Linked DNA regions of Canis lupus familiaris. The protein of the gene in region 1 purifies or fractionates together with the protein of each later gene. This does not show direct contact. Links are inferred from orthologs where the notes say so. Each region holds a gene or a part of one and is shown on either strand. Other genes may lie near its edges.

What was found. Proteins that work in one complex are often made in the same cells at the same time.
Region 2: the proteins of NOP2 (region 1) and SRPK2 purify together in Homo sapiens (affinity purification with mass spectrometry; 3 studies listed by BioGRID and IntAct, with this or other methods). This does not show direct contact. The link is inferred for Canis lupus familiaris from reciprocal best matches to the Homo sapiens genes NOP2 and SRPK2.
Region 3: the proteins of NOP2 (region 1) and NIFK fractionate together in Homo sapiens (co-fractionation; 3 studies listed by BioGRID, with this or other methods). This does not show direct contact. The link is inferred for Canis lupus familiaris from reciprocal best matches to the Homo sapiens genes NOP2 and NIFK.
Region 4: the proteins of NOP2 (region 1) and EBNA1BP2 fractionate together in Homo sapiens (co-fractionation; 3 studies listed by BioGRID and IntAct, with this or other methods). This does not show direct contact. The link is inferred for Canis lupus familiaris from reciprocal best matches to the Homo sapiens genes NOP2 and EBNA1BP2.

The regions. Positions count from the first base shown.
Region 1 is NC_049248.1:7,644,899-7,652,913, reverse strand, and holds part of NOP2 (probable 28S rRNA (cytosine(4447)-C(5))-methyltransferase), read left to right. Parts: intron 1-2,532; coding exon 2,533-2,578; intron 2,579-2,725; coding exon 2,726-2,814; intron 2,815-2,984; coding exon 2,985-3,232; intron 3,233-4,961; coding exon 4,962-5,017; intron 5,018-5,132; coding exon 5,133-5,287; intron 5,288-5,391; coding exon 5,392-5,591; intron 5,592-5,740; coding exon 5,741-5,830; intron 5,831-6,633; coding exon 6,634-6,721; intron 6,722-6,797; coding exon 6,798-6,938; intron 6,939-7,253; exon of another isoform or gene 7,254-7,507; coding exon 7,508-7,647; exon of another isoform or gene 7,648-7,716; intron 7,717-7,780; coding exon 7,781-7,870; intron 7,871-8,015. UniProt on the Homo sapiens protein: S-adenosyl-L-methionine-dependent methyltransferase that specifically methylates the C(5) position of cytosine 4447 in 28S rRNA. Required for efficient rRNA processing and 60S ribosomal subunit biogenesis.
Region 2 is NC_049239.1:15,494,759-15,502,773, forward strand, and holds part of SRPK2 (SRSF protein kinase 2), read left to right. Parts: intron 1-1,673; coding exon 1,674-1,839; intron 1,840-3,009; coding exon 3,010-3,035; intron 3,036-4,770; coding exon 4,771-5,017; intron 5,018-5,673; coding exon 5,674-6,156; intron 6,157-8,015. UniProt on the Homo sapiens protein: Serine/arginine-rich protein-specific kinase which specifically phosphorylates its substrates at serine residues located in regions rich in arginine/serine dipeptides, known as RS domains and is involved in the phosphorylation of SR splicing factors and the regulation of splicing.
Region 3 is NC_049240.1:29,903,265-29,911,279, forward strand, and holds part of NIFK (MKI67 FHA domain-interacting nucleolar phosphoprotein), read left to right. Parts: intron 1-2,750; coding exon 2,751-2,859; intron 2,860-4,873; coding exon 4,874-5,085; intron 5,086-6,237; coding exon 6,238-6,300; intron 6,301-7,122; coding exon 7,123-7,200; intron 7,201-8,015.
Region 4 is NC_049236.1:17,083,205-17,090,654, forward strand, and holds the end of EBNA1BP2 (probable rRNA-processing protein EBP2), read left to right. Parts: intron 1-23; coding exon 24-113; intron 114-1,768; coding exon 1,769-1,844; intron 1,845-2,318; coding exon 2,319-2,412; intron 2,413-4,767; coding exon 4,768-4,930; intron 4,931-5,038; coding exon 5,039-5,089; 3' UTR 5,090-5,489; downstream 5,490-7,450. UniProt on the Homo sapiens protein: Required for the processing of the 27S pre-rRNA.

The DNA of each region.
Region 1 (8,015 bases):
TAGGGAAGATGCAGCAGGGACCCAAGTACCCATGCAACAAGAGGTACAGGTTAATACTAGGTTAATACTGAGTAAGGTTATTAGAGGACCTACGCATTTCGAGTTTAAAAAGATTTTAATCTGGGTTTTGGAAAATGGTTGACGTTTTAGTAAGTGGAACTTGGGAAGGGAACAGACCAGTCACATCAACTGCTTTGTGGAGGAGGTGAGCATGGGAAGGCACAGATCTGATTCCCATATGGTGAATAATCTATGGCATGGAAGGCTGGGGATGACAGAAGAGTGGACAGGTAGTTTGTGTTGGGCATTAGATAAAAGATGCAGGTTTTTGAGATACTAGAAAGTGCTAGCACTGACACCCGGGTGGCTCAGTCGGTTAAACATCAGACTCTCTTTTTTTTTTTTTTTTTTTTTTTAAGATTTTTTATTTATTTATTCATGAGAGACACACAGAGAGAGAGGCAGAGACACAGGCAGAGGGAGAAGCAGGCTCCATGCCGGGAGCTCCATGTGGGACGCGATCCAGGGACTCCAGGATCAGGCCCTGGACGGGGCGGCGCTAAACCACTGAGCCACCCGGGCTGCCCTAAACATCAGACTCTTTTTTTTTTTTTTTTTTTTTTAATTTTTATTTATTTATGATAGTCACAGAGAGAGAGAGAAAGAGAGGCAGAGACATAGGCAGAGGGAGAAGCAGGCTCCATGCACCAGGAGCCTGATGTGGGATTCGATCCCGGGTCTCCAGGATCGCGCCCTGGGCCAAAGGCAGGCGCCAAACCGCTGCGCCACCCAGGGATCCCAACATCAGACTCTTGATGTCCACTCAGGTCATGATCTCCGGGTTGTGGGATCAAGCCCTGCATCAGGCTCCTTGCTCAGCGGGGAGTCTGCTTGAGGATTCTCTTTCTCTCTTCCCCTCCCCCTGCTCATGCACACTCTCTCCCTCTAAAATCTTTCAAAAGTGTTAGGCACTATACTGAATCTGTTGGACATGTTATGTCACCTCATTCTCTTAGTGCTTTGTGAAAGAGACATCCTGAAGGAAATGAATGTTAAGTAGCTTGGGCATTTGCAAATGACAGGGCTGGCATTTAAGCCTTTTATTTTTTTGGAGAATGTATGGAAAACTAGTTACTAAGGTAAAATCTGTGGCTGGTCACTGATTAAATTGAGAATAAAAGAAAGCAGAAGAGGGGATCCCTGGGTGGCTCAGCAGTTTAGCGTCTGCCTTCGGTCCCGGGTATGGTCCCGGAGTCCCGGGATCGAGTCCCGCATCGGGCTCCCTGCGTGGAGCCAGCTTCTCCCTCTGCCTGTGTCTCTGCCTCTCTCTCTCTCTCTGTCTCTGAGTAAATAAATAAAATCCTAAAAAAGAAAAAAAAAAAAAAACAGAAGAGAAGACAGTTTTGTTTGTCACATAAATCCATTTGTTATAGACCAGCAGTGTTTCAGATGGTGGAGCTTCTGCTGGTCCCTCAGTTCCTTCAGTCTTCTGATGGCAGAATTGACTGCCACAGCAGAAGTGGTGGTATAGGTCCAAGCACCACAGGCTACTCCATATTTATCATCCCATCCCCAATTCAGACCTTCTTGGGGGGTTTAGCCATGTTGCAGCAAACCAGGTCCAAGGCCAGAGAGAAAAGATTAATTTTGAATCTCTCTTGTTACCAGAATGATGGTAATACTATTTACTGAAATCAGAAGTCTGGAGGGAGGGATCCCCGGGTGGCGCAGCGGTTTGGCGCCCGCCTTTGGCCCAGGGCGTGATCCTGGAGACCCTGGATCGACTCCCACGTCGGGCTCCCTGCATGGAGCCTGCTTCTCCCTCTGCCTGTGTCTCTGCCTCTCTCTCTCTCTCTCTCTCTGTGTGACTATCATAAATAAATAAAAATTTATTTAAAAAAAAAAAAAAAGTCTGGAGGGAGGCCCAGTTTGGATTTGATTGATGAACAACCACATACAGATCATCTCTTTTACATCTCTCATCCAGCTCCTTGTAAAGCTCTGTGGAACGAATTAGAATCTACTCCCTTTCATTAGTGTATTTTTTTTTTTTGTAAGATTTTATTTATTTATTTGACAGAGTGAGAGAGCACAAGCAGGGGTAATAGCAGAGGAAGAGGGAGAAGCAGACTCCTTGCTGAGCCGGGAGCCCAACTCAGGGCTCAATTCCAGGACCCTGAGATCTGAGATCATGATCTGAGCCACAGGCAGAAGCTCAGCAGACTGAGCCATCCAGATGCCCCTAATTAGTGTATTCTTTCTCTACATTTATTTTCACTTCTAATTTTTTTTTAAAGATATGTTTATTTATTCACGAGAGACACAGAGAGAGGCAGAAACACAGGCAGAGGAGAAGCAGGCTATGTGCGGGGAGCCTGATGTGGGACTCCATCCTGGCATTCCGGAATCATGCTGAGTCGAAGGCAGACGCTTAACCACTGAGCCACCCAGGCACCCCTCTCTTCTAATGTTCTTTTTCATTTTCCCTGTAACCTATTGTTCTGCTTCTCTCTTTTTTTTTTTTAAATACAGCTGGTGATGAAAATTCTAAGAGGCTATCTAGTCGTGCTCGGAAGAGGTGAGTGTGGTTGTGCAGGTTTATCTGGATTAAATTGGTACTGCTTATCTTTAGTCCCATGATCACATGTGGAAAGGGCTGTTTGGGGACTGTCCCATTTCAGTGGCAGAGCCCAGAGGTATGTTCCATTTCCTCACTTCTTTTCAGGGCAGCCAAGAGGAGATTGGGTTCTGCTGAATCCCTTGCGATGCATAAGTTCCCTGGGGCCAAACCATTGCCTGGAAAACTACCCAAAGGTCAGTGAGTATAGGAGCTGTGTGCTCTATGACGAGTCCGCTGGGTTCTGGGTAGGGAAGGCCTTGCTGGGCATTTCTGGAGAGAAAGAAACAGGACATCTTTAGGAATAGAAAGTGTAGGTTCCATCAGCGTGTGGCTGCCGTCAGTCCAGAATTCCTCAAACCCTTAGGAATCTCTGGAGGAGCTGTCCAGACACCTGGCAAGAAGGGAGCCCAGCCCTTGCATCACGGTACTCAAGGCAAGAAGCGTCCAGCACTGACCCATAGCAGTGAGGAGGAAGAGGTGGAGGAGGAAGACTCTGAAGAGGATGGTGTGCTGAACCAGGAGGACCTCTGGGGCTCTGAGGACAGTGATGCTGATATGATAGATGACTACGGCGCCGACTCCGACTCAGAGGGCGAGGATGAAGATGAAGAGGTGAGCTTTAGTTCTGTGGGTTTTGAGGAAGGGATCCTTGCCTTTTAGTCTTTCCGGGTCCTTGAGACTCAGTGACAAGGATGAGCTGAGTAGAGAAAAGGGGTTTTAGCATTCCATCATTGTTTTCCTGTCATCTGTGTTTGCTCAATGCACACAAAAGTGTAGAAAAGCTGTAGGATTGATCATTTTGAAATATGAGACTCCTCAGTGCTGGTGAGGACCTGGTCAAGTGGATACTTGAGTGCCCCACTGAGGGGAATAGAGAGCGTACATAGTTTTTTAGTGAAGCATTTGGTGTCTGAGAACCTTGGAGAGTTTCTTCCTTTTGACCTAGTAATTCTGTTTCAGAGGAGGATCCAGAGTATGGACAGATTTATTGACTGGGGTGTAAGAAGTTATTTATGTAGGATTGCCTGGCTGGCCAGTCAGTAGAGCATGGGACTCTTGGTCTTGGGAGTGTAAGTTTAAGCCCCATGTTGGGTATAGGGATTACTTTTAAAAAGGGAGGGGTTCTTTATGTATTATTATACAGTTAGTATATGAATATGTTAGGAAAACTCAGGTGATACAAGGTGGTTGGTGGTGGTGGTGGTTTTTTTTTTTTTTTTTTTTTTTTTTTGATGAAAACAAAGTTCACATTTGCACCTTTTTCCTAGACTGCCTTTTCTCTACAGAGTTACTATCAGGAGATTTGCAGGCACCCTGTGGACTATAATGCTCCAAACTCTGGAAGCTGCCAAAATACCCAATATGCTTAAGTAAATTTTAATTTCTTTATACACTAAGTTATAAAGTGTATAAAGAAGCTTATAACTAACTAATAAGTTAACATTTGGCTATTATGTCTATGAAAGTGCTGGTGATCTGTGACTGAGAAAGGGCAGGAAACAAATTTGAAGATGCACTGGGTGGCTCAGTCAGCTAAGTTTTGCCTTTGGCTCAGGTCACGATCCTGGGATCTTGGAATCGAGTCCCTCGTCAGGCTCCCTGCTCAATGGGGAGTCTGCTTCTTCCTCCCCCCTGCTTATGTGCATGTGTTTTTTCTTTCTCTCAAATGAATAAATAAAAGCTTTTAAAAAAATTTATTCATTTGAGAGACAGAGCACATGCATGTGTGGGAGCAGGGAGAGAGGCTGAGGGAGAGAATCAGACTCCTGAGTGGGGCTCTCAGTCTTAACTACCCTGAGATCATTGACCTGAGCTGAAATCAGGAGTCAGCTGCTCAACCAACTGAGCCACACAGGCATGCCCCAGGTTCTGAACTTTTTAAGGAGAAGGGAACTACACACAAAAGTTGAACGGTTTTGGTGAAACCCCTTGATCCATTACTTAGTTGCAACAATGGTCAATATTGTACCAATCTGGGGATCCCTGGGTGGTTCAGCGGTTTGGTGCCTGCCTTTGGCCCAGGGCGCGATTCTGGAGTCCTGGGATTGAGTCCTGCGCCAGGATCGAGTCCCGCGTCGGGCTCCTGGCATGGGGTCTGCTTCTTCCTCCTCCTGTGTCTCTGCCTCTCTCTCTCTCTTTTTCTCTCTCTGTGTCTATCATAAATAAATAAATAAATCTTTAAAAAAAATACTGTACCAATCTCACATTTCACTTCTTTAGGTTCCATGCTTCTGAGAGTGTACTTTTGCGTTTAGGAAATGATAAAATACAGAGATAAAATACTACCTGGGAGGGTAGGAGGGTAGGCTTTGCATTACTAGCCCCTTGTCTCTTTTTTCAGCTGCTGCCCATTGAGAGGGCTGCTCAGAAGCAAAAGGTTCAGGAGGCTGTGGCTGGGTAAGTTTTAGAAACTCTTAAGATGGAGACCAGGCAACAGCTGGGGTGAAAGAATTGAGGGAGGAGCTGGTGTCTGTTTTATTCTGTGAATCCTTGTTTCTGAACCTGTTTCTAGGGGCCAGTGGAGTGAGGAGGAGACTGAGGAGGAAGAGGAGAAAGGGTCCCTTCAGTCATGCCCCCAAAAGGATGATGAGACAGAGGGGGGCCTACAGATCAATGTGGATGAGGAGGAGTCCTTTGTGCTGCCCCTTCCTGGGGAGATGGAGCAGGATATCCTTCCAGTGCTGGGTGAGGGGTAGGGGAAAGGTGCTTGTGAGAGGAAATTTCCAGGCTCTGGACATCATGAAACAGTTACAGTTCCTTAACACATCCACATGCCCAGGCTCCAGACTTGCAACGGATTCACAAGCGCATCCAGGATATAGTGGGAGTGCTGCGTGATTTTGGGACTCAGCGGGAGGAAGGTCGGTCTCGTTCTGAGTATCTGCACCGGCTTCAGAAGGATCTGGCTACTTATTACTCCTATGGAGACTTCCTACTTGGCAAGCTTATGGACCTTTTTCCTCTGTCTGAGGTACTGAAGTGCTAATCTAATGCCCCTTCTTTTCTTTTCTCAACCTCTCAATCTTACCTTGTGTGAGGAGGGCAGCCTCCTTCCTCTTTCCTCTTCCAGCTAAGCTCCTTGGCCAGCCTGACTTGCTCCCTGCCATTTTGCTTTCCCAGCTGGTGGAGTTCTTAGAAGCTAATGAGGTGCCTCGGCCCATCACCCTCAGGACCAATACCTTGAAAACCCGACGTCGAGACCTCGCTCAGGTAAGGGATGGATTTTGAGATTTTTGTTTTCTGTATCTCAGGGGGTTGTTGACTTTTAACTGCAGAGACTCCCCTATCTGACTTAGATGGGGGTTGAGGAGTGGGCTGTTAGTACCTAAGCATTTCTTGGTCAGGCATGATCCAAAGGCAAACTCAGGTAGGCCTAGTGTCATACTGGATTTATCTGACTGGCTTGGGGCCCGGGAACTCTGAAGTGAGAACTTGTCCCTTCAGCTTGTGCTCCCTGTGACAGGGTTGAGATGCTGCATCAGGATTAAAGTTCTGCTGCCTCAGAACAAAATGGGAGTTACCTGCTTTTTAGATCATTGAGGGGCTGGTGAAACAGATTCTTGCCCCCACACATGCACAAACAGTATTTTAAACTCACCGTTTTAGAGGGTTCAGGGGCTGTATGTTAATACTGGTGTCCTGTGGTCACTGGCAGGACCCTGTGTGTAGTCTTCCTGGTGTGAATGTAACCTACCTGATCCTTATCTTTAATGTGCTATAGCCGGTGATGTTATATTTTATAGTGGTAAGGGGGACTGAGCCTACTGGAACATCAGAGTTCAGTTCCAGGAAACCAAAGGACAGGAGCTGGCAGTCTGCTCCATTCAGATAGAGTTCAGGCCTTGAGTTAGAGCCTAAGGCTAAGGGAAAGGACGTCATGGGTGATATAGGAGAGGCTGCAAAGAGTCTATGATTGTGTTGTAACTCAGTAGAACCATATTTTTATATTTCCACCTGTTTTCTGGATATGGTAGCCTACGAGGTTATAAAATCTTTATCTTTCTTATTTTCAGGCACTAATTAACCGTGGAGTTAACCTGGATCCTCTGGGCAAGTGGTCAAAGACTGGACTAGTGGTATATGATTCTTCTGTGCCCATTGGTAAGTATCCCCTGCCCGATAGCCCCTTTGCCCCTGCCCTTGTCCCAGCATGTCACTGACTGGTCCTCCTCCACAGGTGCTACCCCCGAGTACCTGGCTGGGTACTATATGCTTCAGGGAGCCTCCAGTATGTTGCCGGTCATGGCCTTGGCACCCCAAGAACACGAACGGATCTTGGACATGTGTTGTGCCCCTGGAGGAAAGACTAGCTACATAGGTATGAGAAAGGCAGGCCAGGGTAGGAGCCATCTGGCTCTCTGCTTTTCTAAGTAAATGAGGTCGTTGACTCTCTGGTGCTCAAGAAAACAGTGCACAAGCAACTAGCAGAAAAGTGAAGAGTACAGACTCTGGATTTGGCCTGGGTTCCAGCCCCTTGTGCCACTAAGTACCCATATGACCACGGACAAGCCTCTGGTCTTGTCTTACTATGTGAAATGGGGCAACTGTGCTTGGCTTGGCAGTTATATTATACTTGAATTGTCGGGGTTAAGTTATGTTTTAGAAGTCCTTAGCAAAGTGTTCAGCATATAGCTAGTTATAGTCATTTTATTAAGCTATTATCATTTAAGTAAGTTAGTCTGGAGGACCAAAAAGATGCTTGGTAACTGAAAAAAACCACACTGGCAGTCTTACTCATCAGAGGGTGCAGGTCTAGATCTGTCCTGTAGACCATGGGGAGGAGGCCTATTCACAGTAAAGTTGCCTTGAAGTGGTGGGAATTCACCACTTCACATTTTGGGGCTGGAGGGTGGCTGGCTGGTGAGCACCATGCCTCTCTCCCTTCAGCCCAGCTGATGAAGAACACAGGTGTGATTCTTGCCAACGATGCCAATGCTGAGCGGCTCAAGAGTGTCGTGGGTAATCTGCACCGGTTGGGAGTCACCAACACCATCATCAGCCACTACGATGGGCGCCAGTTCCCCAAGGTGTGGCTCCCCTCTGTGTGTCTTCTAGTTTGCCTGTCCCCTTCTTGACTTCAGTATTGAAACTTGCCCCTGGAAAATAATGGTGTGATAAGGACCACCAAAAACACCTAATTAACCTAGCCTTTTTCCCCAGGTGGTGGGGGGCTTTGACCGAGTACTTTTGGATGCTCCTTGTAGTGGTACTGGGGTCATCTCCAAAGACCCAGCCGTGAAGACTAACAAGGTGAGGTGTTGGGGGTGGGGTGGGGCTAAGAGTGAGTGTGGGGGCTGGCTGAGAAGTCTTGGCCTAGTCCTTGCAAGCTGGGATGGGAGGTGGAGGCTCACCTCTTTTCCTGAGGCTGGCTTGTGACATTTTGACACCCTTCTAT
Region 2 (8,015 bases), on another chromosome or scaffold:
TTCATCTTGGTTTCTTTTTGGCCAGTCCCTTTCCTTCCCTTGGCATAAGACAGTAAGTTCTCTGAGGACACTGGGGCCATGAGCCCTGGGAGACAGTGAGCTGTGTTTATTACTATATGTCAGACACCTGGAATTGGGTGCATGACCTGTTAAGGAGTTTGACTGATGCTGGGTCAGTCGAAGTCATGTAAAAATGCTTCCTAGGGAAAGTTATTTCAGGTGAATATAGGGATTTTCATCCTGTTTAAGGGGATGGGTCTTCCTTTTCTCATTTTCCTTGTGGAACCTCTCTGTCCCCTCATTTCCTAATGCTGTCATCTGTTACAGTTGTTTAGCCAGATACAAGAGACAGAAGCGTTGTGCTCTTGCTGAGAACTTTCTAGAGTGGGAAATACATATTATATATCCTACTGCTTGTCTTTTTCCCACTTCCTTGTCTGTTGTGGACAAGACCCCTAAATGATTTACAGTGTATGATGAGATTTATTAAATGCTAATGTTTATTGAGCATATAGAATTTCTGATGTACAGGAACTTGGGAATATTTTAAAAACATATTTTTGTTCATGGGAAGAATTGAAAGAATTCCTCTCCAGTGGAAATAATTTCAGATATACTGTGGTCACTGCACTCTGTAAATTTTGTGGGTTTTGTTTTCATGGATATTTTGGTTCAGCAGTTTCTTTGAGTTAATGAGGTTTTGTGATCTGGATTCCATAGCTGTTTACTCCTCCTTTCCTGCAGTATTAAAAATGTATACACATCATTAGACCTCATGGAGACGCAGGTTACACTTCATACCCACTAGGGTGACTAAAAAAAAGACAGAGAACGGTGTAGGCCATGACAAGGAGGCTAGAACCCCCTTGCATTTGCTCCTGGGAATGTGACATGATGCAGCCACTGTATAAAACAAGAGTTACCATATGACCTAATAATTGTATTCCCAGGTATACACTCCAGAAAAGTAAAAACGTATGTCTACACAGAAAGTCCTGCATTAATGGTCATAGCAGCATTGTTTGTAGGAACCATAAAGGGGAAACAATCCAAATATCCATCAGATGAAAGGCTAAACAAAATAGAGTATATCCGGTGGAACATTATTTGACAGTTCAAAGAACAGAAGTACATGCTACACTTGGGTGGACCTTTAAAACATCATGCCTGTTCTAGGAGACTGTATGATTCCATTCATATAAAATATTCTGAACCAGCAAATGTGTGGAGACAGAAAGTAGATTAGCGGTTGCACAGTCTGGGGGAGCTGGAGGAGATGGAGAGTAACTCCCATTGGGTAGGTTTTGTCTTTTCTGGGTGATGAAAATGTCCTAATTTATGTAGTGGTGATGGTGGATATCTAAAAACCATCGAATTGTACACCTAAAAGGATGAATTGTATGTAAATTACATCTCAATAAAGTCGTTATAAACATAAGTATGTGTATAGATGCATTTGCTTCCATGAACATAAAGAATCTCCAGAATGATGCACATTGGTTGTTTATGGGAAGATGCTGGGCTCCTGTGAGGGTGGGGGCAGGAGGGAGATTTTTACTAGAAATTTGTGTCAATTTTATTTTGTGCCTTGTGATTATGTTACTTATTTTTACAAATGTTGAACAGTGAAGGTATTAATAACTCCTCTCTTCTCTTGATTTTACAATGACCAGGTCCTCCAGGGGTTAGATTATCTACACAGTAAGTGCAAGATCATTCATACTGACATAAAGCCGGAGAACATCTTGATGTGTGTGGATGATGCATATGTGAGAAGGATGGCAGCCGAGGCCACCGAGTGGCAGAAAGCAGGTGCTCCTCCTCCTTCCGGGTCTGCAGGTGAGGAGCTAAGCCAGCTTTGTTTCAATTTGTTTGGGGGCATTGAGAGCCAGCAGAGTTGCACACTGAAAGCAGTTGAGTCAAATACTTGTTAAGAACTTTTGAAAGAGTCTGACAGCTAGAAATAATAAGACCTTTCTCTTAAAAAGGTCTTAAAAAGATGCCCCAATTAAATTATGCTTTAATATTTGAGTTACTTTGTCCTCCCTTAAACAGTCATTTGAAATCCTACGAGCTGTTTCATCGCCTGCACACTTCTCTGTGAAGGTGTACATGGTAACAGCTTGCTTGTAGCTGACCTATAGTCATCAGAATTTTCTTCCGGTTTTAGGTTTGTTAGAATGCTTCCTTGTCTCCAGTTAGTCTACATCAATCTGAGTCTAACTGGTGAATTTGGAATTAGTTACAAAAGACCCAAGGGTGGGAGAAGGCCAGATACCTTGAGTTTATAGAGTTTTCTATATATAGAGTTTTCTATCTGGCTTCCATGGAGTGTAACGGCTACAGTAACATGTTGACCACTTTCCTCATCTCTTCATGTTATCCACACCCTAGTGCATTGTCCGGCAAGTGTGCAGACTTAGGGTCTGAAGTCCTGTGACTGACAGGACTCTTGGGAGCTGCGCACTACCTCCTAGTCTTGTTTTTTACCTTTAGGGTGTTTTTTTAGATCATAGACCTATGGTCAATCAAGCTGGCAAAGACTGGTCATGTGACTTCTAGAGTATTTATTTCTGCTGTATAGACTTGCCAAAGAGTTTTCAAACATAGATGTGCATCTCCTAATTTACATTCATCATTTTATTGTCTATAAAATAAATTTGGTTAGATGACTATGTGATATTTGTGAACTCTTACCCATTTTCTTAAGTTATCAGTCAATGCTTTGGTATTGACTCTCTTTGAAATGAATGGGTATTTAATTCTAGATAAATAAGGGAAGTGGCCCAATGAACAACTACTTCTGTGCCTTTGAAGAGCCAGTCATTTGTTTGAGATGGATAAACTTTCTTCAGATCTCTGTGATTAAGAAGCTCTGTAGTTTTAACAGTTTTGAAGTTGGATAGCCATTAAAAGGCAATGATTACCTTCATTTTACAATTGAGATTACCTAATAAAGATACAGATCTATTTTCCTCTAAACATTCATTTTGTTTCATTTTGTTTTAGTGAGTACGGCTCCACAACAAAAACCTGTAAGTATTTACACATACACTTATATTCACCTTCACGTCAAAAGCAACTGTTCCTTATTGAGCTTTTCAAGTTGTAACGTTAGTCTCTGTTTCTCTCTGTCACAGTTTTTCATTTAAGATTGTTTGGGCAAATGGATTTTGTTTTTGTTTTTTTTTTTTTTTTGTTATGTTCTCAATTTAGATGTTTAATCCATCTTGATGTAAAAGATGGGCATGTTGATAAATGTTATGTATCCTTGAATATATGAGGCTTACTGTTTTCATAAGTTGAAGTGATTTTTAGAGTTGGAATAGTTAGAGCTTTTCCAAGCTGGATCTTCATTTTCCCTGTTCACTTTCTAGGGTGCTGTTAGCTGACTCTGGTGAAATGTGACATGATCAAGATAGAGTTCGAAGTGTGATTTTTACAAAACACTTAACATTATTTCTGATTTGCCTCCAAGATACCCATTTTTCTGAAGCTTGTACTCTAATTTGTTTTCCTAGCCACTAGTTAAATATGGAAAAGAGTATTGTCTGTTTTGTGGTCCAGTCATATGAAACAAGTTGCTTGGAATTAAAACTTACCCTGATGTCCCTAAACCTGTTTAGTTCCAGTAGAGGATAGAATGAATATATATATATGTATATATATATATATCTTGAGTTGATGAGTCACCTACAAGTTTTGAAAGAGCTTTATGAACCAGAAGCATTTGAAAGGAAATGTCGAGAAATTCAGAGTGCTGCCAGCAGCCCTCACTTTGGAATGAAAGTCCCAGTACAAGAGGGAGTTGTAATAATTATGCCACCTGGCTTACTGAGGAGCCGAATCATTGCCTACAGTCCTGCTGTGGTTTGAGCAGCTTGTTTTGATTATTGATTCTATGGAAAGACTGTAGGCTGTCATTGCCAGCACTTTCCCAGTCATGTGGCCCTGATAGGAGGCTGACTGAAACTGTGGCTTTTTCTTTTTTTCCTTTACTTCATATGTTCATTGCTGACAGTTTCTGCAGTCCCAGCTGTTGACCCCAGCTCGTTGTGTGAGACTCAAACACCAGCATTACTGTTGACCAACCATGAAGGCAGTACACCTGTGCTGGCAGGCCTTTCTTTTATGGCAGGTAGTTGGGTAAGACATTAAGGAGAGGTGATACTGTTGGTTTGTAGATAGGCAGCAATAAAACTTGCAAGGGGTGCTTCTTGTTTAAAGGCCGGGGTATCTGAGCATTTTCCATTCTTAGAGTTGAATTGAAGTGGACTTCTTGAATTGGAGCTGTGTCCCTCTAAGGACAGGGACTGCTAGTCGCCCCCTACTTGATGTAAGGCAGCACTGGTTTCTTTTTTTTTTTCTGGTTTTATTGTAACCCTAACCACAAGGTGGGTCTCCTGTCTGGGGACTTAGTCTTTTTTTTTTTTTTTTTTTTTAATTTTTATTTATTTATGATAGTTACACAGAGAGAGAGAGAGAGAGAGAGAGAGAGAGGCGCAGAGACATAGGCAGAGGGAGAAGCAGGCTCCATGCACCGGGAGCCCGACGTGGGATTCGATCCTGGGTCTCCAGGATCGCGCCCTGAGCCAAAGGCAGGCGCCAAACCGCTGCGCCACCCAGGGATCCATGGGGACTTGGTCTTAATGAATAAGACCTGAGGAAACATGATTTGTTGTTATTTGCCATGTTGCTAGCACAGGTAGTCTTGTGGAGTGCTTTAAAAAGAAGCAGACTGACCTGTGGTATTTTCTTCCCATGTTGTAGATAGGAAAAATATCTAAGAACAAAAAGAAAAAACTGAAAAAGAAGCAGAAAAGGCAGGCTGAGTTATTGGAAAAGCGCCTGCAGGAGATAGAAGAATTGGAGCGAGAAGCCGAAAGGAAAATAATAGAAGAAAACATCACATCAGCAGTACCTTCCAATGAACAAGACGATGAATACCGCCCAGAGGGCAAACTGAAAGCTGCCGGCTTAGAGGATGCGGCTGAGAGCGAGCCTGTGAATGACAACGGTCAGTCTGCACGGGGTCCTGGAGCTTCCTGAGTGAGCACCTGCTGGGTCACCACATAGGCTGTGGTTGGGGAATATGGGAAACCGTCTGCCACTTCATTTGTAAAACGAATGCCAGAAATATGTTAGTATTTTAAAACAGTTTTTTAAAAAATGGAAAATGTCTAACACCATGTCTCAATCATACTAATGATTATTCTTTATTTTTTAATTAACCTTTAACCTAATAGTAGTGTATTCACAGACATTTTCTGAAGATTGTAGAAGAGAGGGTAGAAGTAGAAAGGCAACTCTATAAAGAGTCATTTTCCTCCAAATCTAACTTTTTCTAATAAGAGTTAGCCAATTATTTACTGAATGAAAAAATGAGATCTAGAAAACCTATGATCTTACCCTGAGAACCAAGAGGTGCTTTGCTTTGTAGTACATAAATCAAGCATATTCGGGGGTGCCCAGCTGGCTCGGTCAGTGGAGCATGTGACTCTCTTGGGGTTGTGAGGTTGAACCCCACATTGGGGGTTGAGCTTATTTGAGGGAGAAAAATAACCCTAAATTAAGCCCACTCAAAATTGTCCCTTGTTGGAGGAAATATGTACCTAGTGCCACTGTGTTAAGGAGAGTAACGCATTCTGATTCTTAACCCATCAACTTTTTAAGGCGAGGCTGAGGACCAGGAAGAGAAAGAAGACACCGAGAAAGAAAACACTGAGAAGGATGAAGATGATGTTGAACAGGAATTGACCAATGCAGACCCTGCCTGGATAGAATCACCCAAAACCAATGGCCATATTGAGAATGGCCCGTTCTTACTGGAACAGCAGCTGGATGATGAAGACGATGAAGAAGAAGATTGCCCAAATCCTGAGGAATATAACCTCGATGAGCCAAATGCAGAAAGTGATTACACATATAGCAGCTCCTATGAACAATTCAATGGTGAATTGCCAAATGGACGGCATAAAATTCCTGAGTCACAGTTTCCAGAGTTTTCCACATCATTGTTTTCTGGGCCCTTAGAACCTGTGGCTTGTGGCTCTGCACTTTCCGAGGGATCCCCACTTACCGAGCCTGAGGAAAGCAGTCCATCCCATGACAGAAGCCGTACGGTTTCAGCCTCCAGCACTGGAGATTTGCCAAAAAGTAAGTGTCCTTCCCCGCCAGGTGTCTGCTTTCCGTGGTCCGAGTATCATAACCTTGACAAATGCTGTGAAGGGAATTGGCCTGGAGGTGGCCAAGTCATTCGTGTATGTATGCATTAACCATTTTCGCTGTATTACTTTTGTAATTCTGAATAAGTAATGTAATTTAAAATGTATTCTGTACCACTTAGGCTTTCTCTTGCGTTCTGAATATCAGATCCCATTTCTGAGCTTTTCTTATTCCTTCTATAGTTAGTGACATCTGCAATTGCAAAAACCTTCCAGGTCCAGCAGCTTACATGTACGATAGCTTTTATAGAATATGTAGTTTATAATTTGTACTTCCATCTGATAGTGTTATATTTAATTTTTGGTTTTTGTTTTGTTTGTATTCAGGGAAATATACCGGCTCTTTGTATTGAGGAAGAAGTCTCATTTCATTTTGATGGTTGTTCCTGATTGTAGAACTCTGCAACTGAAACGTTAAAGCTATTTTAAAGGAAGTGGCATGTGTTTTTAATGTGATTATGACTTCTGTCAAACCCTTGAGAGTGAATGCCACATGACCTGTCCCTACCTGTGTCATGCAAAGGGGCTCCAGTAAGCAATCGCAGATGGTTTCCATTCTAGCCCACAGAGGAATAGCTCGGAAACCTCCTCTGCTCCCTCTGCTGACAAGAGTGTTTAACACATGATGAGTCAGTTGACCCAGCCCTGCAGATAGCACAGGGAATCCTGCAGCCCCTGGAGTCCAGCAGGGGAGACCTGCAGAGCTGTCTTTGTTACTTACTGGCTGTAGCTAATTATTCTAAAGATGTGGGTTGGTTTGTTTGTTGTTTTGGGGTTTTTTTTGTGTGTGTGTGATATCTTTTTTGTTTTTACTTGAGTAGACATATCCTATCCTGTTCCTTTTTACTTTAACCAAGGATCTTTGAAGGTGCTTATAAAATGTTTTCACACAGAAGGTAGGTTTACCTAGGGAAAGACTCACCTCTGTGTGTCTCCTTCACTCTCACACACTACTTCTGACACCTTTGGTCATCAAATGTGTGTGTTGGGGGTTTTCCGTACACCAGAAGCTTTTCCAACACCAGCTGGGTCTCCTAAAATTTATTTTTTTTAATTTATTCTTTCTTTTTTTTTGTTTTGTTTTGTTTTTAAGATTTTATTTATTTATTCATGACAGACATAGAAAGAGAGTCAGAGACACAGGCAGAAGGAGAAGCAGGCTCCATTCAGGGAGCCCTGACATGGGACTCGATCCTGGGTCTCCAGGATCACACCCCGGGTTGCAGGCAGCGCTAAACTGCTGGGCCATTGGGGCTGCCTAGGTGTCCTACAATTTAACGTGATTTTGACGCTGTCTGGAGACAGCATCAGATTCCACAGGTTAAAGGCTCAGTTCCCACAAGACATCGTCATACACCAGTGGCAAGTCCATGTTGGCACCCGTGCTTCTGACCTATCAGCTGTGAATCAGAGGTTCCCATGGACCCCTGTTCAGGTTCAGTTAATTTGTTATAGCAGCTCACAGAATCAGGAAAAGAGTTCACTTGCTAGGTCACTAGTGTATTATGAAAGGATATAACTCAGGAGCAGGAGCAGCCAGATGGAGGAGATGCAGAAGGTGAGGCTTTTGTGCTCTTTCCAGGCCTGCCGCTTGCCCTGCAGTCTCTCACATATCCCTTCATATCATGCACACACGGATTCTTTGTTCTTCTAATTAACACCTTGGATTATGTCTTATAATCATTTACAGCTTCTTGTTTCCTGATGCCAGAATTGTCCCAAATTTGGTCCACGTGAGCCTTTTCCAGTTGTCTCTTTTGTCCTGTTGACATAACCCCATTTTTCTTTGTG
Region 3 (8,015 bases), on another chromosome or scaffold:
ACACCTAAGGCAGGCACTAAACTGCTGAGCCACCCAGGCATCCCAGTTTTGTTGCTTTCTAAAAGGTTGCGTTTTGGGTTTGAAAACTGCTTTAGGAAGATTCTCAGAGCCACTGAGTATAGAATCGTTGTGGTTTTTGTACCTACCTTATTCTGTGACATTTAGTATCACATTATGTGTGTGTTGGCCATTAGAACGCGATCTTCTGTGAATTGCCTATTTGTTTGTTTTGCCCTTTCTTCTTGTCTTTCCTGAGAACTTTTTTCTCCATTTTCTGGGACATTATTTTGTAATGAGAGATTCCTGGGTGGCTCAGTGATTGGGCATTTGCCTTCGGCTTGGGATGTGATCCCGGAGTTCGGAGAAGTTCCGCATCGGGCTCCCTGTATGTCTTTCATGAATGAATAAACGAAATCTTTAAAAATTTTTTTTTTAAAGATTTTATTTATTTATTCATGAGAGAGAGAGAGAGAGAGAGAGGCAAAGGGAGAAGCAGGCTCCATGCACCGGGAGCCCGATGCGGGATTCGATCCCGGGTCTCCGGGATCCCGCCCTGGGCCAAAGGCAGGCGCTAAACCGCTGCGCCACCCAGGGATCCCTCTTTAAAAATTTTTAATTAAAAATAAATTTTAAAAATATTTTGTAAATGTTTTCCTAGTTTGCAATATAGTTATTGTTTTCCCCAGTTTAATGTTTTGAAAATATTTAGGGCAGATAGAATAGTGTGATGAACATCCTATTGCCTGGATTCACCTGTTAACATCTAGTTTCATCTTTGTCCTCAAGAATATATTTTTTTGTTTTGCTGAGGCTTCTGTTTTTTGTTTTTTGTTTTTTAAGGTTTTATTTATTTATTCATGAGAGAGAGAGAGAGGCCAGAGACACAGGCAGAGTGAGAAGCAGGCTCCATGCAGCAAGCCCAACCTAGGACTCGATCCCAGGTTTCCAGGATCACACCCTGGACCAAAGGCGGCACTAAACTACTGAGCCACCAAGGCTGCCCTTGCTGAGGCTTTTGAAGAAAGTGATAGTCGTAATACTTTAACACTTCATTGTAAATTTAAGAATAAGACATTTTTCTCCATAACCACAGTATATAATAGTGTATAATGTACTTCTCCCATCTGCATACATCCCCAGTAGTCCCAAAATGTCTTTAGCTATTTTTTTTTCCCTACCCATTCTGGAATCCAATTAAGGTTCATGTATTGTATTTGGTTCTAGCTCTCCAGCATATCTAGAACAATCCTCTTGCCCTTTTTTGCTTGTTCTTTCTTTTCTTGATACTGGCTTTTTTGAAGATTTCGGGTCAGTTGTCTTATAGGAAGTTTGCTTCTTAAAGAGATGCACTAAAATTTACCATTTCCAGCATTGTTGCATGATAAAGTTGCCACCTTCCTGACTCACCCCAATTTTGACTGTTTGCTCAATACTTCAACGTTCTGGGATTACTAGGTAAAATACTTAAAAGTGTTTGGCTCTTCATTTTTATTTATTATTTATTGTAATCTCTAAATCCAACATGGGGCTCAAGCTTACAACCCTAAGATCAAGAGTCATATGCGCTATCAACTGAGCCAGCCAGGAGCCCCTGGCTTTTTTGGGTTTTGTTTTGTTTTCTTTGTTTTAGTCACTTGATACGTATTTTCACATCTCTTTTCAGAAGGTTTATATCATGTGATACAGTAATTGGATTTCACAGCCTGTCTCTTCAACTCCACCATTTTCCCCTCCCTATTAAAGATGGAATTTTAAAGGATTTGGGGACATAAAAATTTTTGCCAAAATCCTCTTTTTGCAGATAGCTAAACAATGTGCTAGTTCATGGCACCACTAGTGCTAGAAATGTGCCTCCTGGTCATTGAGTGCTTTCCTATTTCCATAATTGCATCACCAGTTTTGATCCATATCCAAAGATATGTTTAATGCAAAATTGTGCAGTACTGCTTTTGTTACTAATAATTGGAACTGTAAAGGAGGAGAGTTGTTCTACTACCAGTTCTTATGTATAAAGTGAGACTAGGACTACCTGCATTCTTTGCAAAGCATTGCACTATCTGCTGGGCATTGTTAATACATGAATAAGGTGGCTTTCAATGAAATTGGTAATGTATAAAGGACTGTGGGCTCTACCAGATTTCCTTGTGTAGTAAATTCCAGCTGCAGTAGTAATGTATTAATCATGTAATCAAAATTCCAGGGATACTTCAACAGCATGTTCAGACATTTTGGATCCTTTTGTTTTTCTTTCTTTTTTTTTTTAATGTATTTTATTTTCAAATATATTTTATTTTTATGTAATCTCTACACCCGGTGTGGGGCTCAGACTCACAACCCTGAGATCAAGAGTTGTATGCTTTTCTGATTCAGCCAGCCATGGATGCCAGATCTTTTTTTTTTTTTTTTTTTTTTTAATTTTTATTTATTTATGATAGTCACAGAGAAAGAAATAGAGAGAGGCAGAGACATAGGCAGAGGGAGAAGCAGGCTCCATGCACAGGGGGCCCGATGTGGGATTCGATCCCGGGTCTCCAGGATCGCGCCCTGGGCCAAAGGCAGGCGCCAAACCGCTGCGCCACCCAGGTGGATGCCAGATCTTACCTATTCCTGTTACAGTCCCTGCACTGTGCATTGAAGTTAGAATTAAAGGTGTACTGTTAATAGACAATAGGGCTAAATTAATGGCATTTTAGAACTTTGATGATCTGTTAAAATTTAATCAACTGTTTGTGGTGGGTTTTCCATTGCAGACTGGAAATAGTAAAGGCTATGCCTTTGTGGAGTTCGCATCTGAAGATGTTGCCAAGATAGTTGCTGACACAATGAACAACTACCTTTTTGGTGAAAGGCTTTTACAGTGTAAGTGCTCTTCTCTTACCATGGGACTAAGTGGACGCCTGCTGCTGGTTCATGGCTGTGCTGTGAATGACAGATTGCTTACCTGCTTGGCTGTCCCACTTCATCTCTGGGATGATTCTCCTAAGTATTTAAGTGCAAAGATACGAGTGCATTTTCTAGACAGATTCTAGTTAGAATTTTAAAATCTTCTAGAGTAAGAGCTGTTTTTATTCTAAGATGGAATTGGGACAAGGTACTACATTGGAAGAGCAGCCAACTCATCACTAATGGGATATGGAAGGCTTCCTTAAAGAAGCAACATTTAAGTTGAAATCTGAAGATGAGATAGGAATGAGCCGGGGGAAGGGAATTACCATCCCTGGCTTGGTGAGATAGGATATGCATAGCGGGAGGTAACTAACAGTACTTATTTGGTTGTGAAGGAATGTGAGGAGAATAGCAAGAGGTCAGGTTATTAAAGGCCTTAAAAATCTGGAAGTTTAGAATATATCCTGGGGGTAGTGGGAAGCCATTAACAGGTTCTAGATAAGATAACATTATAAAGATGGGGCACCTGGGTGGCTCAGTCAGTTAAGCATCTGCCTTTAGCTCAGGTCATGATCCCAGGGTCCTGAGATCAAGCCCCACATCTGGCTCCCCGCTCAGTGGGGAGTCTGCTTCTGTCTATACTCCTCACCTCCGTCCATGTTCCCATGCGTGCATGCACACTCATCTCTCTCTCAAATAAGTAAAATTTTTTTTAAAAAAAAAGGATAACATTAAAAGCAAGAAATCACATTTGAGAATCCATCTAAATGATATTGGCTGCAGCTCTTCCACAGGCGAAGCCATAAGGAGTAGAGAAACAACACCAAATTAGTCTATCCTGCAGAAAGTGGAGCTGCTCACTTTGCATTCCCAAAGCATCCCTATCTGCAATTGGGTGCCTCTGGAGGCAGTTAAGTTTGCCTTCTCTGTGCCATTTGTGGAGTGTTTGACCATACCACGTGCCCAAGCCACACACGTCAGTTCATGTAGCTGACGAGCTGCCCAAGTATCATCTCTCTCTCGGTTCCTGTTGCTGTGACAGAGAATCCCAGTAGCCTCATTGAGGTCATGGGTTCATTTCACACATAGAAAGCATGGCTCTTCCCAAGAGGAAATGGACTAAATAGGTGACCTAAAATGTGTCAAGGGTCCACATGGGTAGGATCGGTGCTGTGCTGTTTCTGACTTTGAAAAACCACAGAAAAGATCCTGAACTCTGATAGGAGGTTAGCCACATTGTCTTTTTCTTTTTTCTTTTTTTTTTTTTTTTTTTTTTAACAGAAGTGACATATTTTTGAGGTGAGCCCAGGAAAATACTGATAGGGAGTAGAGAAGTGAGACAGAAGCATTGAGGGTGGATTAGCAAGCACATTACTTCTTAGGCAGCTGGGCTCCATCCTGCCAGGTAACACGGGAGACAGAATTATTCCGAATTGACAGGTAAGGGAAATAGGGAATTTACCTACCAACTCCCCATCCGTCATTGTTTGAGGGTTGATGCCAAGGGTTTTGGCCTGCCTTGCATATGGGCCCAGTTCCTAGTAGTTGGTTTAAGCTTCCATAGCTTAAAAGTGCCACTAAGAAGAGAGCTGGAGATAAGCAGTAAGCTGGCTTAGTTCTAGAGAGGTATGCAGAGGAGATTAGCTGGGAAGTAATTCCTTCTGCTACAGCAGGTCACACAGCCTGAGATCCTGGTAGCTTCAGGAATCCCAGAGACTTGCCGCCACCAAGACATTTCTTTTATAGGACTCATCTTGTTCGCTAACCTGTTTCTAGCTCCTGGAACAGTTCTTGGCATTTAATAAATAGATACTTAATGATAATTGTTGGCTGTAAGCCTTTCTTTTAGATTCCCATTTTGTTGTTTCAGTCTTTTCCCTGTAAATGGGAGACATGTCCTCTTGATTATGATATGAGGGGAATGACAGTGGTGAAAACCTTAAAATCTTCCAGTTGGTTGAAAATTTTTTCTTTCTTTGAACTATAGGTCATTTTATACCGCCTGAAAAAGTACATGAAGAACTTTTTAGAGAGTGGTATATTCCATTTAAAAAGCCATCATATCCAGCAGTGAAACGGTATAATCAAAATCGGACACTTCTTCAAAAGCTACAGATGGAAGAACGTTTTAAAAAGAAGGAAAAATTACTCAGGAAGAAATTAGCTAAAAAGGGAATTGATTATGATTTTCCTTCACTGGTAAATATTCCTTCACGAAATGTTTTTGTATTTTTTTCTTGGGGGTGGGTTTTGTGCCTCATTAGTTGTAACATATTTATGGTTTTATGCATAAATTGTCTAGCCCGGTGTTTATCCCATGCTAGGCTTTGCCTTAATTTTGAAACATTACATTATGGGTTCTTTTTTTTCCCTAAAGATCTTCTTTGAGAGAGCACAAGTTGGGAGGGCAGGAGGGAGATGGAGAAGCAAACTCCCTGCCCAGTGGGGAGTCTGCTCTCTTCCTCTCCTCCCCTCTCCCTACTCAAGCTCTTTCAAATGAATAAATAAAAATTTGTTAGAACAAGATCCTGTTAACTCCATTATGCAGAAAAGGAAACCATTGAAAGGGGTTAGCTCATTTGCAAAATTCTCATGATTTGAAATATATAACAAGACGACTTGCATGAAAATGAGTTAGCACAGAGTTTTATCCAGTTCTTAGTTCCTTGCTTGTTGAATAAGGAGACCTTGTGGAGTCTTTCCTCCTCGTCATTAGTGGAGGAGAGCTGTGTGGTTTTTACTGCAAAGCAAGAGTATAGGTCATTAAGGTGTGGACAATATAGGTGAAGGCCTTTTTTCTTCCTTGACTAAGTCTTGAGATTGATTTTGAGTCTTCTATACCTCTCAGCTTATTTCCAAAAAACTACTTAGTTGGTGGGAGATGGCATCTATTTCTGAGTTTATTAGATCTTTTAACCTTATCTAGCAACTGGAAATTTAGCTACCCTCCCTGGGCCCAGTTCCTAGTAGTTGGTTTTTTGCTCAAATCTGTACGTGTGAAAAGAGCATGTGTCACTGTTCCAGGGACCCATGGGAACCACGTGGGAACTGGGACAATGAAGCTGGAAAACAGGCATGCCAGAAATGCCTCTATGCTTGCCCATTTGCTGCTTTGTGTGGAAGCAGCCCTGCTTCATTATCTAATTCTGAATTTGGGCCCCATTCAGCCTTCATAGCCTGAGCCCATTCCTTAGTTAGGCCCCTCTTACAGTTTTGCCCTTAAGGTTGTGGTTTTGCTTTTTAAGTTAAAATGCTGTGTTATTTGGAGAAGATTTACTGATAACGTGTAAGGATCTAATGGTAATTTAAAAATATAAATATGTGAGACTACCAGTTCATTTCTTTGTTTAGATTTTACATAAAAAGGAAAAAAATGCTTCAGACACTGGTCTTGAGAAGCCTACAGATAGCCAGGTAAAATTTTAATTATCATACTACATGCCAGATTTATTTTTGTATGTTTTTTTATTAGAGTTCAATTTGCCAACATACAGTGTATCACCCAGTGCTCATCCTGTCAGGTGCCCCCCTCAGTGCCCATCACCCAGTCACCCCATCCCCCCGCCCACCTCCCCTTCCACTATTCCTTGTTCATTTCCCAGAGTTAGGAGTCTCTCATGTTTTGTCATTCTGTGATTTTTCCCACTCATTTTCTTTCCTTTCCCCTTTAATCCCTTTCACTACTTTTTATATTCCCCATATGAATGAAACCGTATAATGTTTGTCCTTCTCCGATTGACTTACTTCACTCAGCATAATACCCTCCAGTTCCATCCACATTGAAGCAAACGATGGGTATTCGTTTCTAATGACTAATATTCCATTGTATATATAGACCATTCTTTATCCATTCATCTTTCCGATGGACACCGAGGCTCCTTCCACACTTTGGCTATTGTGGATGTTGTTGCTATAAACATTGGGATACAGGTGTAGGGGTTTTTTTTTTTTGTTTGTTTGTTTTAAGGTTTTGTTTATTCATGAGAGAGACAGAGGGGGGCAGAGACACAGGCAGAGAAAGAAACAGGCTCCATGGAAGGAGCCCGACATGGGACCCAATCCTGGGACTCCAGGATCACATCCTGGACCAAAGACAGACGCCTAACTGCTGAGCCACCCAGGCATCCCCTACATGCCAGATATTAGGGAAAGATAAATGGGAAAATAGATTCAAGATTTATTTATTGCTGATAAATAGGCAGATTGATGAAGTTTCTCTCTTAAAATTTATTGAAGGTCTTGCCGAAAAAGAAGAAGAAGAAGAAGAAGAGTTCACGTACTACTACCACTCCTGAGAAGACCGTGGATAGCCAGGTAAAACAGTCTATAGTATGCTGGGAAATGAGGTATTACAGAAATGATTTGAAAGAGGAAAAGCTGGGGCACCTGGCTGGCTCAGTTGGTAGAATGTGGGACTCTTAATCTCAGAGTCATAAGTTCAGGCCCCATGTTGGGTATACAGATTCCTTTTTTTTTTTTTTTTAGATTTTATTTATTTATTCATGAGACACAGAGAGAGGCAGAGACACAGGCAGAAGGAGAAGCAGGCTTCATGCAGGAAGCCCGATGCAGGACTTGATCCCGACCCAAGCCAAAGGCAGATGCTCAACTGCAGAGCCACCCAGGCGTCCCTAGAGATTACTTTTAAAATAAATTAGTAAATAATTCTTCTAAGATTTTATTTGCTTAAAAGAGGGAGACACAGGGCAGCCCCGGTGGTGCAGCGGTTTAGCGCCGCCTGCAGCCCAGGGCATGATCCTGGAGACCCTGGATCGAGTCCCACATCAGGCTCTCTGTATGATGCCTGCTTCTCCCCCTGCCTGTGTCTCAGCGCCTCTCTCTCTCTCTCTCTCTGTCTCTGTCTCTGTCTCTCTGTGAATAAATGAATGAATAAATAATCTTTAAAAAAAAAAAAGTTCATTTAAAAAAAAGAAACGGGATCCCTGGGTGGCTCAGGGGTTTGGCGCCTGCCTTTGGCCCAGGGCACGATCCTGGAGTCCCGGGATCGAGTCCCGGCATGGAGCCTGCTTCTCCCTCTGCCTGTGTGTCTCTGCCCCTCTCTCTCTCTCTCTCTCTCTCTCTCTGTCTATTATAAATAAATCTTTAAAAAATAAAAAAAATAAAATAAA
Region 4 (7,450 bases), on another chromosome or scaffold:
GCTGACAACATTTTGTGTTTTAGATTCGACAGAAGCTGCAGGCTAAACAGGCAGCCATGGAGAAGTCTGAAAAGGCGAAGCAACTGCGAGCACTTAGGAAATATGGGAAGAAGGTGAGAAGGAAAGTGTGTGGTGGGCATAGGATGTTGCTGAGTGTTTGTCAGCCCGGGGTGCCGGGGTCCGATCTGGTTCTGTGCCCTGTGTCTGTTCCATCTTGTGTTGATTATTGCACTGCAGAGGGGGGATGTGTGCTTGGATTCGTAAACACCATCTTTCCTTGACACTGGAGTCTTGAGGGGGCAGGGCTGGGTGGGAGGAGGTAGCCTGGTAACTGCAGGTGTGTCATTCATTTGCACATCTGTACAGTGAAGAGTTGGGTTCAAATCAGTGGGGCCAAACCCCACTCTACAGCAAAACCACCTGGGAAAATTTTTCAAAACAGATTTCTAGGCTTCAGGGTGTCAGGGAATCTGCAGGTATTGTCTTCTCTTCCCCGCAAAACTTTTTACATGATTCTGAAATGCATCCTGCTTTGGAGAATCGCTGGCCTAGATGTTTGTTAAGTCTTTGAAGGAACCATATCATTGATTGTCATCCAAGTGAGAGGACAAATGGCACCTGTGTGCTTGAACTGCTGTGGATGTCTGAGTTCTAATTTAAAATCTAGGGAAAGTGTCCTTGGTTTTTCCTCTTTATTTCATGGTTCTTTGGGAAAGACGATGACAGGAATTAAAGTCAGGGTAGTGGGAAGAAGTGAGTGTAAGGAGGATCAACATGAGTGTTCAGACTTTGTCAGCATTTTTGGACATAAACATTCATGATCTGGGGTGCTGTGCTGCTGTCCACATTTGGAGTCATTTCACTGACAAGTCCTCAGCAGAGTAAGAGTAGATTAGCATCCTGTTCTCTGCAGAAGGGCAGCTCTGCATTTATTGGATTGATCTGGTAGTTGATGGTTGAGGTCAACTCAAGGGCCTAAGTGGTTGGTAGTAACGGAACCTAATTGATCAAAGGCGAAGAAAAACTTCCTTTGGGCCTGTTAGCTCACTGCTTCTAATTTGAGGAAACATCATGTCAGTGGTTCTCAGTTGGGGATAATTTTGCTTAGCAGGGAATATTCAGCAATGCCTGGAGATATTTTTGGTGTCACATCTCAATGGGGACTGAGCTACTCAGATCTAGTGGATAGAGGGCAGGGAGGCTGCAAAATGTCCTACAGTGCCCAGGACAGGCCATCCACCCCTCCATAAAGAGTGATCCTGTCCAAGCTATCAATAGTATTGAGATTGAAAACGCTGCCTTCGAATGGAAGCATCTGTTTTTATCCTTACAACTGTTTTGCTTTTCGTTTTTTGGGGGGATTGTTTCTGTTGATACTTTCATGCCTACTAACAGTAGGGGCTAGATACAGAACCTGAGAATTGATTGTAGATCTAGATGTGACTTGCTATGGTTTTGTAGGCAGAATTGTGTAATCAGGTAAGAGTGTAGACCCCTGGGTGTGAATTCAGCTGTACACTTTCTTGCTGTGTGACTCAGGCAAGTTACTTAGGCTCTCTGTGCTTCAATTTCAGGGAGTGTTAGGAATTTCTGCTTCATGGGGTAGCTGAGAAGATAAACTAAGAATACACTTAGAGCTTTACCATAGTTCTGGCACACAGTAAATGTTAAGTGGCCGCGGTGTTAGCATAGTGTTACCAAGCGGATGTAGACACTTGCAATGATGGTGGTCTGGAGTGGGTGTGACAGCCCTATGTTCATGTCCCAGGTGCAAACAGAGGTTCTTCAGAAGAGGCAGCGAGAGAAAACACATATGATGAATGCCATTAAGAAATATCAGAAAGGTCAGTATATCTCCCTTCTAAGGATATAGGGGAGCAGGGGCCGCTGCTATTTTAACATATCCTGCTTCTAGAGCCTTGATTGATTTGGAACCATTGGACCTAAGGTTTGGGAACAGTGTGGGGAGCAGAATATGCCTCTTAAAATTAATTTAGCGGGATCCCTGGGTGGCGCAGCGGTTTGGCGCCTGCCTTTGGCCCAGGGCGCGATCCTGGAGACCCAGGATCGAATCCCACGTCGGGCTCCCGGTGCATGGAGCCTGCTTCTCCCTCTGCCTGTGTCTCTGCCTCTCTCTCTCTCTGTGTGACTATCATAAAAAAAAAAAAAAAAAAAAAAAAAAATTAAAAAAAAAATTTAAATTAATTTAGCAAGTAACCACCTTTTTTTTTTTTTTTTTTTAAGTAACAACCTTCTTTTGAAGCTTCAGTTTTTCTTAAAATGTGTTAATGCTGATCAAAGTACCTTTTCACCCCCAGGCTTTTCTGATAAACTGGATTTTCTTGAGGGGGATCAGAAACCCGTTGCACGGAAAACAAAGGAAGGAGCAAAAAGCCAGCAGATGAAGAAGGGGTATGAAGGATTCTGGTTTGGTTTTGTGGTGGGTACTGGGCAGGCAGTCCAGGGGCAAGTTGGGGAGACCATAGGAGTGGCCTCAGGGTTGAGAGAGCGCAGTGCTACCTGCAGCCAAGGCTAAAGGCCTATGTGATGGATCCTTTTAGCCATATCAGTCTTAGAAGATTAAAGTAGGGTGATCTAGGGAGCGCCTGGCTAGCACAGTCAGTAGAGCATTTGACTCTTGATCTTGGGGCTGTGAGTTCAAGCCCCACGTTGGACGTAGAGCTTACTTAAAAAAAAAAACAAAAAACTAAAGTAGGGTGATTTAAGCATCTGGCACATTTTAAGTGAATATTTAGTAGAAGTAGATTCCTCATCTCACAGCACAATGGTTAAGTGTATAGACCTAGGGTTAGGGTCTAAAGTCCACCATTTTGGGTAGTTTTGAGCAAGTTTCTTGCCTTTTTTTTTTTTTTTTTTTTTTTTGAGTTCAATTTGCCAACATATAGCATAACACCCAGTGCTCATCCCATCAAGTGCCCTCAGTGCCGGTCACCCAGTCACCCCCACCCCCTGCCCACCTCCCTTTCCACCACCCCTTGTTCGTTTCCCAGAGTTAGGAGTCTCTCATATTCTGTCTCCCTTTCTGATATTTCCCACTCATTTTCTCTCCTTTCCCCTTTATTCCCTTTCACTATTTTTTATATTCTCCAAGTGAATGAGACCATATAATGTTTGTCCTTCTCCAATTGACTTATTTCACTCAGCATAATACCCTCCAGTTCCAACCACATCGAAGCAAATGGTGGGTATTTGTCGTTTCTAATGGCTGAGTAATATTCCATTGTATACATAGACCACATCTTCTTTATCCATTCGTCTTTCGATGGACACCAAGGCTCCTTCCACAGTTTGGCTATTGTGAACATTGCTGCTAGAAACATCGGGGTGCAGGTGTCCCGGCATTTCACTGCATCTGTATCTTTGGGGTAAATCCCCAGCAGTTACTTGCCCTTTCTAAATATTAGTTGCCTCATCTGTGAAAATGAGAAAAGTGTATGCCTGCATAGCATTATGCAGACTTAAAAGGGCTAATGGCGGATATTATTATTTTCTTTCTAGTTTACCTTTATGTATCCCTAGACACTGGGGCTGGGAGAAATGATAATTTCAGTAGAATATATTAATGCCATGATAAAGATATGTAAGGAGTAGCGTAGAAGCACATTTTAGAAATAGCTGACCCGTTCTGGGGATCAGGGTGTGAGGATGGCTCCCTGGAGGAGAGCCCCACCTGAGCTTAGTCTGAAGGATGAGCAAGAATTAACCAGGAGAATAGGAGAGACACAGGTTTCAGCAAAAATGAACACAAATGAGCAAAAGCGTAGAGATGAGAACAGGTTTGTGCATGAGGAACAGCAAGGATCTGGTACTGCTGGGAGTTCAGTGTGGGGCAAGGAGAGGTGAGATGTAGCTGGAGGGGGGTCTGGGCCAAGTCACAGAGGCAGTGTGTGCCTTGTTAAGAAGTTTGGGTTTTAGCCAGTAGGCCATGGGAGAGACATTGATTGAGTAAAGCACTCAAAATAATGACCACATCATAGTCATGTATTTGAAAAATTACGGTGGTACTTGTATATAGTGTGGACTCGAGGGAGGCAGAGAATTCAATAAAGGGGCACTACAAAGTCCAGAGAGCAGTGATAATGGGCTAAAAGTGGTAATGGGGGCAGAGAAGAGAAAACAGGTCGAAGAAACATTTGAGAAGTAATAAATTAGCAGCACTCAGTAATTGTGTTGGGTGTAGAGAGTGAAAGGAGGAAGAATCAAGGCTGGTGCCCAGGTTTCTAGCCCGGGAGGCTGGAATAGATGGTAGGACCACCAACCTCAAGTCGGTGTTTATATACGGAAGGCGAAACCAGTGTGGGAAAGGGAGATGGCATGTGATTTTGGATATGCTGAATGTGAGATTCTCCGGAATGACCAGTTTTAAAATTTATTACATTTGAATGTTAACTGCCTGTACTACCCTCGAAAGGAATAGAAACGACTAAGAATGATCTAGCAAGAGTTAGTTAGAATAGAAGAAGCTTTCTAGAGATAAGTATTGAGCCGCAAGATCTATGTGGATCCTTTCCTGGTTCTTGCTTTGTTTTCTTGCACTAGTGGTTAAAACTATAAGTGGATGAGCTTGCCTGGGGAGTTTTTAAGAGTTAAGAATGCAGGGTTGAGGACGAGATTCTGGGTAGCAGTAGCGTCTAGCTCTAAGCAAAGAGCTTTTGCTTATAGACAGGAAACTAAGGATACTGATGGGCCATAAGATCCATCAGGATTTGCAGTGCTGTGGGTAACTTGTAAGCCTGCTTTTTTTAGGCCCAGCGCTAAGCGACGCTATAAAAACCAGAAGTTTGGTTTTGGTGGAAAGAAGAAAGGCTCCAAGTGGAACACTCGTGAGAGCTACGATGATGTATCCAGCTTCCGGGCCAAGACAGCTCATGGCAAGGGCCTCAAGAGGCCTGGAAAGAAAGGATCAAATGTAAGTGAGCCGTGGGTCCCATCCCACTTCTACCCGCATCTTCCTGTCCTTGGGGCAGAAGGCCAAGCTGCTTTGTGACCACATGTGCTATTATTTCTTTTTCCGTAGAAGAGACCAGGAAAACGGACACGAGAGAAAATGAAGAGCAGACCACACTAAGCAGCATCTTTGTATACAAAGAACCAAGAAAAAGGGTTGCAAACTTGGGATTTCAGCATACAGTTGGATCTCTTGTGTTGGTTTCTTTTTGTAAAAAGTTCTTTCAATAAACAGTTTTCAAAGAAACACAATCATGGTTAAAAACTCAGGACTAAAAAAAGATGGAGAAGTTACTTTTATATATTAAGTAGGATTGCTATTGATTGACGATAATTTAGACTTTGAGTCCAAATCGTCTTTTTTTTTATGATATATGAAAACTTGCACCTTCCTCATGCTTCTAAGTAATTGTATCACGATTCTAGATAAGTCAAGAATGAGTGATCGTATCATTATGATTATTTAAATACCCATCACTGTCAAGCTACGTGTACTATGATAAAATTTCCTTTGTGATACAGCTGTGGGTTTTCCTTGAGTTAATTATCACCTCATATTTTTCTGTGTGCCTGATTTTCCTTGTATATCCTTATTTTTCCTTAGACACATGTCATTCTTTCCACCTTACAGTTTCCTGTCTGTCATAACAGCTCTCACCCTGCCTCTTCTAGACCATCTGGATTGAACTCACTATTTCCTGGATCCCATTTCTGTCTTAGATTATGCCTTCTTTTGCCATGTACCATCTTCTAGTATCTTCCTAGAAGGGATCTCCTACACATCTCTGCAGTTGCCTTTAGTTTGGCTGGTGGGAGTTGTCCTGAGAATGTTGTAGGCATAGCCTCCCCACTGAAAAGTTGCTGCCATTCCCTCTCTTCTGGAAGCTTTTCCTCTCCCAGCGATCTGAAATTCCATGATGACCTGCCTTGGCGTGGGCCTGTTTTATTTCTTTGCTTAGGGTGTTTGGAAGGATGCTAGATCTTTTGTTCTGGCAAATTTTATTTGATAGCTTCTCCCTATTTTGTTGTTGTTGTTGTTGTTGTTGTTGTTTGTTTGTTCTAATTCTGGAGTTTGTTAGTCAAATTTTGAACCTCTTCTGATGATCTTCTAGGTTTGTGTTTTAGTTCCACTTTAGGGAAAAGATTTCTTTGATTCTTTTTTTCTAATCATTCAGTGAATATTTAGCTTTCATTTTACATTTTATCCCCAAGAGTTCTTATTCTTTCACCTCAGAATGTGAATTATGATTTTCGTTTTTTGAGAGTTATTCTGTTCCTTTCATTCTGTTTCCTTGGGTTTCCTCCAGCCCCTCCCTGTGCATTTTGATCCCCGTTTTTCATGTTGAGCTGTATGGAAGTCAGGAGCACTGGCTGGGCCAGACTGCTGGGTTAACACCTGTTTCTGCTACTTCGCTGTGTGACCCTGGGCGTGTTATTTTTTCTGTGCTATGTCCTCTCTGTATAGTGAGAATAATCTACCAAATACAGTTCCTGTCAATATTAAGTGAGTTAATACGTGTAAAATGCTTTAGAACATTGCCTGCCATATAGTAAGAGTTTTTACCTGCTTGGAATTATTTTGGTGGGGGGCTTTCCATAATGTCTGAGCCTTAGTGGTACCTATTTGAGAGGTACTCCGATTCTGGCTGGAAGCCAGGAATAGGTAGGACATGGATGGGCAGGTCACGTTGCATGTTGGGTTTTATTCTGTTGATAGGGTGGGAAGTTTGTTTACCTGCCCTTCCTTTCTCCATTACAGTTTAGAAACCATACATTAAGGACTAGAGATATCTGAGAACTGTATATTCTTAAGCAGAAAAAATAATTTATTTTCCCATTGTTTCCTTTCTTGTAGAGTCATTGGTATATAAAGAAAGGACGTTTCTGGTTCCCTATGATTCTAGTACAAAAAGAACGAATTTAGGTTTTGTAAAGTAATTTCAGTTAACAAAATTCCGAGCAAACAGGTCATGTTTTCAGAAGACCAAAACGTGTTACCCTGACCTATTTTTGACAATCTACAATATTAAGTGGGTGGGGGTAATGTATAGGAATTCAAAGAAAGGGCCTCAGAATCAGTTCAAGAGTTTGGGTCAGGTGTGGAACACATTGAGAGTTTTAGGAAAGGAGAACACAAGTTTACAGTTCATACCAGCAAGGCCAAGTGTAGGTCATTACTGCCAGCACTTTTAAAGACATTGAAAGCTGTGTACCTTACCTTCCTTCTTTTTTTTTTTTTCTTGTATAGCAAATGGAATCCCTTTCCTTAATTTCAGAGATAGATATACTTTGTAGAAGTCACTTATGTCACCTCTCTACCATGTCAGCCCTCACCGGGTCACCAGGGTGCAGGCAGGATTAACCTTCCCATTGCATTATATCGCAACCCCAGGCACCAAGACCTAGGTGGGGACCCAGATGGGGACCCGGCAGTTCCTGGCACCAAAGATAGGCTGTTCTTGCTTTGGGTGGATTTCCATTC